2 linked regions of the Schizosaccharomyces pombe genome follow. Changing the gene in region 1 together with any one later gene gives a genetic interaction. Each region holds a gene or a part of one and is shown on either strand. Other genes may lie near its edges.

Region 1 (5,237 bases):
TTTTATTTTAATTGATTTACAGTATACAACATGATAAAATGCGTTACTTAAAAGGAATCGCTTAACTTCAGCATACTTGCACCTTGCAGGTAAAGCCAGGCCTTCACAAACCCAGCACCATTTTAGCTGCTAAAATGGCAGAAAATGAGAATCATGTACTTTCAATACGAATGTCACACCCATACTATTCAGAAAAAGAAATAAGTCGAATTTTGTCGACGCGAGATCCCAAAGAAAATAATTTGCGAATGCAGGCGTTCGCTTGGATATCAACACTTTCAAAAACTTTAAAATTGTATGCTTTTCCTCAAAATTATCTAGAATCTAACTTTTTTTTAGCCCTGTAAGGACCAGCGGCCTTGCAATGCTTTTATACAGTCGTTTCCAACTATTTTTTCCCGTGAATGAAATTCCTTTGCTGGTATGTTATTTGGATGTCTTTCGCACATGAGTATGCTGTGCTATTTGAAATTTTACGTATTCTGATATAAGAATATTCTGAATGCTGTACATTGGTCATACTATTAAAAAAGACTACAGTTTTTAATAATGTTAGCTCAGCTACTCCAAGTTATAAACATCATATTCTCTTGATTTAGGCTCTTTTTCTTTCAAAAATAACTAACACATTTAGGAGTGCGCTACTGCTTGCTTAGTAGTTGCTAGTAAAATCGAAGATACGGCCAAAAAGTTTCGTGATATTCTTTTAGCACATTATCTTCAAAAGCATCCAGGTTCTGAGGTCGATGCTCATTCACAAGTATGTTACAAGGTGCGCAATAATTGTTTTTTGTTTATAAGGAGACTTGCTTACAGGTGTATTAGCTAATCGAAGAGAACAAGAAGAGGATTCTAGGTTTAGAAAGAATGACACTGGAATTGATTTGTTTCGATTTTCGAGTCCGACATCCACACAATTACATGGTAAAATTTGCAAAATCACTGAAATGTATGACTGCTATTCATTTTACCTTATAATTTTCGAGTTAACTAATTTACTTTCAGTTTCATCTTCCACGGCAAGTATAGCTTGGAATGTCTGCACTGATGCTTATAAAACATACACAATGTTAAAATATCCAGCCCATATTGTTGCCGTCGCATCGATTTCTATTGCTTGCAAGTTACAGCAACTTCCTCAACCTATAATTCCCAGATCGTTCTTCGCTCCACCAGCACTAACGGAAGCAGTGATTGCGGATATACTCGATCTATATATGCATTATCAGCCTCACACTTGCATTGGTAATATGTATACAACGGAAAAATTACTTGGATTATGTGTTGACTTCCAACGAGCCCAAAAAAACTCTGGCCGTCCTCAAAAACCACCCCAAATTGACCCTCATTCTTCTTCTTTAGCAGATGAATACCGTGAGTCAAATAAGAGACTTCAAGAATCCAAAGAAAGTTGTGCCAGATTTATTTTAGACTGCGATAGAAAGTATTTTAATACCGAATTTGAAAAACGAATGCTGGAAGAAAGGAGAAATAAAGGTACGGTTTAATCTAATGGTTCCTTAATGAGTTATCTTACCATCGGTTTGTTCCTTCTTTCGACAGCATTCTGAACAGTATATTAATATGTGACATTACAAGTTACCAATTTCCAATTAACTTCCTTTTGAATGACAAAACTTTATTTTATGCGTTTTCTAAACATAATATGATTTAAAAAGCAGCTGACCTAAACCCTGCTATATCTTAAATATTCATTAAGTAAAAGGAAATTTCGTTCAAATTTCAGTGCAGTAAATGTTGATCAAAAGAAGGAATCGTGATAATCATACGTAACCCATTTCAGAGTGAAAGGTGTCATGCTTTTTTAAAGCAATCACGCTAATGGTGGGAAATTAAAAAAGGGACGATATCGCAAAAAAAAACTATATATAAAAAAAAATCATTTACTAGCGCTTCAAAACCAATATCAAGGTAAACACTAACGAATTTCAGTAGCCCATCCGGGTACATCTTCACCGGTTGCTCCAGTAGTCTCGATTTTGAACGTAGGATCAGCCACTTCGCGCAACCATGGAGAATTGCTCATGTAACCAGCATTGGTTCGCTTGGCAGGATCAAAACATAACATAGGAGATAAAAAGTCTGATATTTGTTGAGCCAACTCGGCTGAAAAATGGTATTTTTGCTCCAAAACATCTTTTAAAGGCCAAAACTTCAATTTATGAATATTTCGGAGTTCACCGCGACGGTTAAATAAATCGCGGGAGTGCTTTCCTGAAAGTGCCATTTGCTTAGGATAATTAACCAATAACTCAATAATTTGGGCAATGTGGTCATCCTCCTTAGAATAAGAATTCCCATTCCGTGGATCGAAAAGGTAATCGCCGGTTAGCAATTCAAAAATGATACAGGCAAAACTCCAGCAATCAGCGGAAGCTCCCCAGCGACATCCTAGAATTACTTCTGGAGACCTATACTGACGGGTTTGCACATCGTTGGTGAAATGCTTCCGTGTCCAGCACGCGTTACCGAGATCGGCAATTTTAACAGTGATTTTTGGAACGGGTTCCTGAGAACCGTTAACACCATCAAGTATAAGAGAATTATCTCCACTAGAAAACGGAGAATTAGGATGAGAATTATGCTTTTGAGAGTCACGAAGGCTGATTTCTGAAACAGCACCTTCTAATGAAGGAAAGCGGCTCAAAGTGGAAGTAAAAGGACTGCTAGGAATGACCTGGCCAGCAGGCTTAGAATTCTTAGTTGGATTTTTTGCAAATGTCTTGCGTTCTTGGGCAGAGTTATCTACAGATTGGCCACGTTTAATAATTGGAGCTTTGGCTGTATAACCAGTGTTATTTCTTGTTTTTGAAGAAGAGGTATTAGAAGTGGGGGAGGAAGTTGTTGCAGGTGCCTCAATATGTTGCAAGGCATCCTGATCAATGCATATTAAAACATTTTCGGGTTTAAGATCAGTATGAATGATCCCGCATTCTCGATGCAAGTAATCCAGAGCGATGAGTAATTGGTAGGCAATTTGCTTTACAATACCCACAGGTACTCCTCGATGGCCGTATGACTGTATCAAACTTAAAAGATTCTCACCGAGAACTTCGAATACCATACAGACATGAGCTCCATTAGGACCACGATGCACAAAATAATCGAGCAAAGAAATGATATGCTTTTTGCCCAAATGCTTTTCGTCCCCTTCTCTAATTTTCTGCAAAATGCGAATTTCATCAATTGAGGTCTCTCGATAGTGCTCTGCTGAACGCACCACCTTCAAAGCTACTCTCCGTTTGGCAGCTCGATCATATGCAAGCCAAACCGTTGAAAAATGTCCCCAGCCTAATTTTCTTTCAACGACATATCGACGGTGATGAAATTCTTCACCAATGTAGACTGGGTGGTATCCACCATAGTGATAGTCCTCTGCATTTTCTTCGTGCGTTTTTACCTTTTCCACCATGCTTTTTCCGTCTACTTCAGCATTGACCTTTTTATTAACATTTTTTCCATTCGTGATCACCTTTTCACTGACATGGTCAACTATTTCAGTGTGTCCCGGTTGTGACACTTTCGGTGACAAACTCGACCCGTCACTTCCCATTTCAAAATGGCTGGCTGCCCCGTATGAAGAAACTACTGATATGTCCCTCCAGCTCTTAAATTAAAATATCTGAGATATGTGAATACACCAATTCCTTCGTTGTTGTTGTTGTTTGTTCTGGTTATAAATACGGTATGGAGTAGTATTTTTAGTGCGAAAATCAACACGGGGAAACACCGTGGAGTCTTAGCACACTACCGAGGAAACTTTGCGCATTAGGAAGAGCGTTTCGATATAGTAAATAACAAAAAATGGGAAAATGGTTTACTAATTATTTTACGCCAGTAGGAGAAGCCACCTTTACACTCCGTTACTGTACCATAAATATTTTAATAATACTACTTAAAAATCCGTATATATGAATACCAATGACTAAGGCATCACTAAAAATATCAGCAGTTGATAGAATATGAACCCCCTGCGCTTTCATCCCATCGCTATCCCTTACTAACTACTTTTACCGAAGTAGCCCAGCCGTTAGAATTCCATAAGATGTGTTAAGGTCTTCCAAATTTATATCGTTATCCATTATAACTGTATCCCATTCAGCTCTTAGATCTCGACAGGATAGCTAGAAAAAATGTAAACAATTCTTGAGTCGTTGAAAAGAGGGATATTTAAGATCTGTTTTCTCTCTCAACATACGGCGTTCTTAAAATGAAAATTCTCAGATAATGTTCTAGCTTTACGGCATTCACACCTACGGCCCGAGATCTACTACCTACTCACACTAACCGTGATTCTACGGGCAAGACCTGGACTCGAAAACATTCAATTACATTGATAAAAACGGGATATAATAAATTGACAAGTATGGCCTGTGCTAACAGTTATTTTTGTTGAGGTCTTAGCAATGTATTATGGTAAACGGAAATCATATGTAAGGTTCATAACCAACCAATAAATATAAATGTCTATTTGAAAGGTACTTTTTTTGTGATGATCAGAAACATAAAGGAAACGGAGATCAACAAAAGTAATCATTGAGGATGATGAATTATTAAAGAAGTCACAAAAAGACAAAAGAAAGAGGCAGCGGGTAATAGAGATCATTTAAAACAAAGTCCATCGTTTCTAAATATCTAAACGGCAGCAAACTGGTTAAATTAACGAAAATAACAATAACAACAAGTAAATGCTGAGGCCATTAACCCAAGGCAACAAACCGCGGGCATGGTTTCTGAATAAAAAAGATGAATATAACAGAAATAAGAAAAACAAAAACTGGAAAAGAGAGGGTCAAGCAAATCAACTAAAAAGCGGACTTCTATGACGAATTAATCCTTTAGACAGTGCTTGCTCATTTGTCGTAATTTCGGCCCATATAAAAACAACATAAAAGGAACTGGAATAAGCCCAACTGCAACAAATCCGACCAGAGAACCAGCCCAACCAATTCCCAAATTATTGAACATTTGGGTTGTAAAAAGAGGAAATGCCGCGCCAAACGAACTTCTAAGTAATGTATTGGCCGCGATTGCAGAAGCAGAACATCCACTATAACAATCAATGATATAATTGATTGTTTGTTGAAAAATTGTAATGATTCCAAAGCCAATAAAACTACCTGCCAAAGTTGGAACAATCCAATGAATCCATGGATAATTACCAGTCCAAGCAAGCCAAAAGATGCCAATGGGAAAGACAATGCAACCGATCATCA
Region 2 (3,868 bases), 3.2 Mb from region 1:
GTAAAGTAGAACTAATTAACTACATACATCTTCGACTTGAAAAAATCACCATCTTATTATAGCTTTTATACATCTGGTACTCGTCACTGGCCTATAACCAGTTGGCCAATTCTATAACCTACAGTGTTCCGACTAGTTACGAGTTTTCTATTATGAGCTTAAATCTACTAGTCAATCAGGAAGAATTAAAGAGATATCTGGATGAATATGGTGGTAAGAGTTTTTCAATTGATGCATTTTTGCAAGTCATTCTTTTATTCACAGTTTCATAGTATGGTCCAAAATATTTCGCGCGCTGTTTGTCGCCCGTAATTCTAAGCCGTTAAGAAGTTTTTGTGTTCATTATGCCATTAAAGAATTGAAAGAAAAGACATATAATCTAGAGTTGTACCAGTCTCTATTCGAGGAGTTTCAAGATTGCTTCGAAAACGAGCAGCTGGACGTAGAATGGGTTGAAAGCGTTACTTTTCATAGGAAACAAAATCTAGAACAATTAAGAAGGGAACTAAAAGCCTATAAAAACAACTTAATACGAGAATCTATAAGAGTATGAGCTACAAGATAACTTTTTGCTTCACAGACTTTTTATTACATCCTTTGTTACAATTCTAACAACTTTAGGCGGCACAACTAGATTTAGCTTCTTTTTTTGCTGATGTGGGCCAGTTTGATAGTGCTTTAAGATCATATGCCAAAGTTCGCGAATATTGTACAAATGCTGGACAAATTGCTCATTTATCCTTAGAGTTAATGAGAATTTCTATTTGGATTGGTAATTATTCTCATGTACTAGCCTTCGGGTCTCGCGCCAAGTCTACTGTTAGTGCAGCCATGGAGCTAACTAGTCCTATTTATGCATACTGTGGATTGGCCAACTTTTGCTTGGGTGATTACGAAGAGGCCCTGGCTCATTTTTTAAAAGTTGAAACTGATACCTCTGATGGTATTATTACAAAAACTGACATTTCAGTGTATATCTCACTTTGTGCACTAGCGTGCTGGGATCATAAACGTCTGATTCAAGAGCTTGAAAGAAATGAAGAGTTCAATGCTTTGTCAGATTTAGACCCTTCCCTGAGACGTTGTTTGCAAGCGAAATGTAATCGCAAATATAGTCTTTTGCTTGATACATTACAGCAAAATGCTCAAGACTATTCTTTAGACATGTATCTGGCTCCTCAATTGACAAATTTATTTTCCCTTATTCGGGAGCGTTCACTTCTTGACTATTTAATTCCTTACAGTGCTTTGCCGTTCAGCAAAATTGCAGTTGATTTTCATATTGATGAGAACTTCATTGAGAAAAATTTATTAGAAATAATCGAAGCCAAAAAATTAAATGGCAAGGTGGACTCTCTTCAAAAGGTAAGTATAATAAATCTGCTATATTGGTCTAACTTTATAAGCGTGTTTATATCGAACCTTCTTCAGAGCCTGAAAACTTCGAGGACATAAAAAATATCGCGCAAACTAGTTTGCTTTACAGCAAGGCTCTTTACTTACAAACATTGGCGGCGATGAACACTGAAAATACTGACGACGAAGCTCCAGTTATCGCTCAAACGAACATTACCGCGGAAGATTCACAGAACTAACAAAAAGCATGCACATCATATAATTGGTTAATCCTTTACTTACTTTTTTTGAAATTTCATTAATTATTTAGCTTATGAAGATTTAGTTGCAGCTGTTGTAGCTGTTGCCTTTTGTTGCATAATGTTTTGAACGGCTACAGAGAATTAGCAAATTGTTGATAATAAGATAAAAATTGATCTGTACTGTAAATGCTCATACCTCTAATTTGAACTGATTTTGCGTCAATGGCATTGTTGAGGTTCTCGATACTGCTGGCGAGATATTCACATTTTCTTTTATAATATTCGGTAGCTTCTCCAGCGGACTAATGTCGTTAGGTTTAAAAATCTCTTATATATTAAAAATACCTTTTCAACGTAATAACCAGTCCCAATATCGACCAACAATTTACTGTTTCCTAAATTCAGCTTTCCAGGAACATACAAGCTTGAAGTCAAAGGTACCAAAACCTCCTTTCCTATTGACAATAGTTAGTGAAACATATGCAAAAAAAATTTCAGTTTGTCTATACCATCGTTCTCAGCCCGCACAGCATCGTTAACGTTTGCCAGGCATTCACGAAATTTCAATTGAGCACGTCCTAGTTGTCCATAGGAGGTCGATAGATACTCTAGCTCAGAATCTAACTGTTTTATAACTTCTGATAATTGCTCCAAGCTGAGAGAAGTCAAATCGACCGCTTTATTACCTTCAGCCATTATTACGCTTCTATTAGAACAGTCAAGATACGAAGGAACTGGTAGAAATTCCAACGCTGCACTGCATTAAATTACAGGTACATGGTAATCCATTTCAATATACAATCAGTTAGTTGGTTGAAACAATATTTGTTTTAAACAGTTATTCAGAATTATACCAAACAGTGAAAGTAGAATCGAATATGTTATTGAGCAGAGGGACGCTATAGAATATATCAATATAGATGATAGATTTTTCAATAATTAATAAATTATGAGCATGAAGATTAACAAAATTTGGGAAAATAATACTAGTTAGGATGCATTATAGTGCCATTGATTAGAAGTTTAAGTATAGCTTTTTAAGCATCATTTTTTTTGTATGGATCAAATTGAAGCAAATCTTTATCGTTTTCTACAACATCACCAACATCATCTTCGGTATCTGAAGAATTTGAAGGTGTTTTTTCAGTCGCCGTAGTTTCCGATGTGGTAATTTCAGAAGTAGTATTTTGATTGCTAGTACCATTTGCGGTACTTGGACGAGAAGCGGGTTTATGCCCACGAAATGTTTTACCAATCCTATTGGTATCAATTACCAAAGAATCCAATAAACCTCTCAAACCTCCGGTGGTTGATGATTTTTCTTGGACTGGAGCTAAAACGATAGAGTCGGCGAGTCCTCCAGAAAATAATTGCTCTAATAAACCAATTGATAAAACAACCATTCTAAAAGTGGGAAGACTAACTTTGATATCACTATTAGCACCAACAGAACGGTTTTCAGAACCAGTACTGCTCATATGGTCGCTTATATCAATCAACGTATCAGAATGACCATCAGGACTAGCTTCATCAGCAAAATGAAAGCAGCGTTGTATGAATTCGCTAACTGCGGATAGATACTCATCACCCATAAACCTAGTTAACCAAAGAATAGCTTCTGAAACCTTCAAAACGTCTGGTTTATCCATAAAACCATCTCCATTAAAGTCATAAAGCTCGAATATAAAAGATATATTGCGCATTACATCCCTAAATTTCAATTCTGCAATACCGGACACCAAATCCTGTAAAGATAATGATCCAGTCATGCTTTTGTCAAATCGTAAAAACAAATGACGAAGAAAGGATGATGAATTATTGATAGCCGCTGCATCCAAACCTTTCGCCCATTCAGTAACTCCTGCTAAAAATATACAAAATTCGTCAAATTCCAACCGTGTATCAGTAGAGCTGCCTAATCCAACTCGATGTTTGGACGACAATACTTCATGATAACGGTCGTAAATATTACTTAAATCCGTACGTGTTAATGTACCGTAATTTTGTAAACTCCTAATTTGTGTTCTCTTTGCAAATGACTCAATAGAATTCATAACTCCTTCGTAATGTTTTTTCCTTTCATCTTCAATTAAAGAGTGTGTTATATGGCTAAACTTCTTGAAAGCAGTTACCAATAAAAGTTGAAACTTCGTGATAGAGGCAACGCGTTTATCTGTTGCATCTTTATAAGCCTTATCTCCCAATGATGAAAAATAATTTTTTAAAATTGATATCAACATAGTGTCTTCTGTAGCCTTCATAATTTCAGC

Evidence for each region.
Region 2: mutations in dsk1 (region 1) and pfd5 together harm fitness more than expected from each alone (negative genetic interaction), as found in Schizosaccharomyces pombe (2 studies listed by BioGRID).

The regions. Positions count from the first base shown.
Region 1 is NC_003423.3:824,240-829,476, forward strand, and holds dsk1 (SR protein-specific kinase Dsk1), read right to left. Parts: upstream 3,694-5,237; 5' UTR 3,575-3,693; coding exon 1,940-3,574; 3' UTR 1,509-1,939; coding exon of another isoform or gene 1,006-1,508; 3' UTR 950-1,005; coding exon of another isoform or gene 826-949; 3' UTR 761-825; coding exon of another isoform or gene 635-760; 3' UTR 566-634; downstream 1-565. Other genes in the region: lsc1 (Lsk1 associated cyclin), read left to right, coding at 135-295, 340-421, 635-760, 826-949, 1,006-1,508; SPOM_SPBC530.15C (spermidine family transporter), read right to left, coding at 4,852-5,237. UniProt on the Schizosaccharomyces pombe protein: May play an important role in mitotic control by altering cellular location, degree of phosphorylation and kinase activity. Abundant expression accelerates the exit when cells are in M-phase and also delays the entry into mitosis when cells are in G2.
Region 2 is NC_003423.3:4,025,844-4,029,711, reverse strand, and holds pfd5 (prefoldin subunit 5), read right to left. Parts: upstream 2,307-3,868; 5' UTR 2,295-2,306; coding exon 2,108-2,294; exon of another isoform or gene 2,054-2,107; coding exon 1,944-2,053; exon of another isoform or gene 1,901-1,943; coding exon 1,795-1,900; exon of another isoform or gene 1,730-1,794; coding exon 1,668-1,729; 3' UTR 1,596-1,667; coding exon of another isoform or gene 1,407-1,595; 3' UTR 1,366-1,406; coding exon of another isoform or gene 622-1,365; 3' UTR 569-621; downstream 1-568. Other genes in the region: COP9/signalosome complex subunit Csn1, read left to right, coding at 153-213, 273-547, 622-1,365, 1,407-1,595; SPOM_SPBC215.01 (GTPase-activating protein), read right to left, coding at 2,636-3,868. UniProt on the Schizosaccharomyces pombe protein: Binds specifically to cytosolic chaperonin (c-CPN) and transfers target proteins to it. Binds to nascent polypeptide chain and promotes folding in an environment in which there are many competing pathways for nonnative proteins.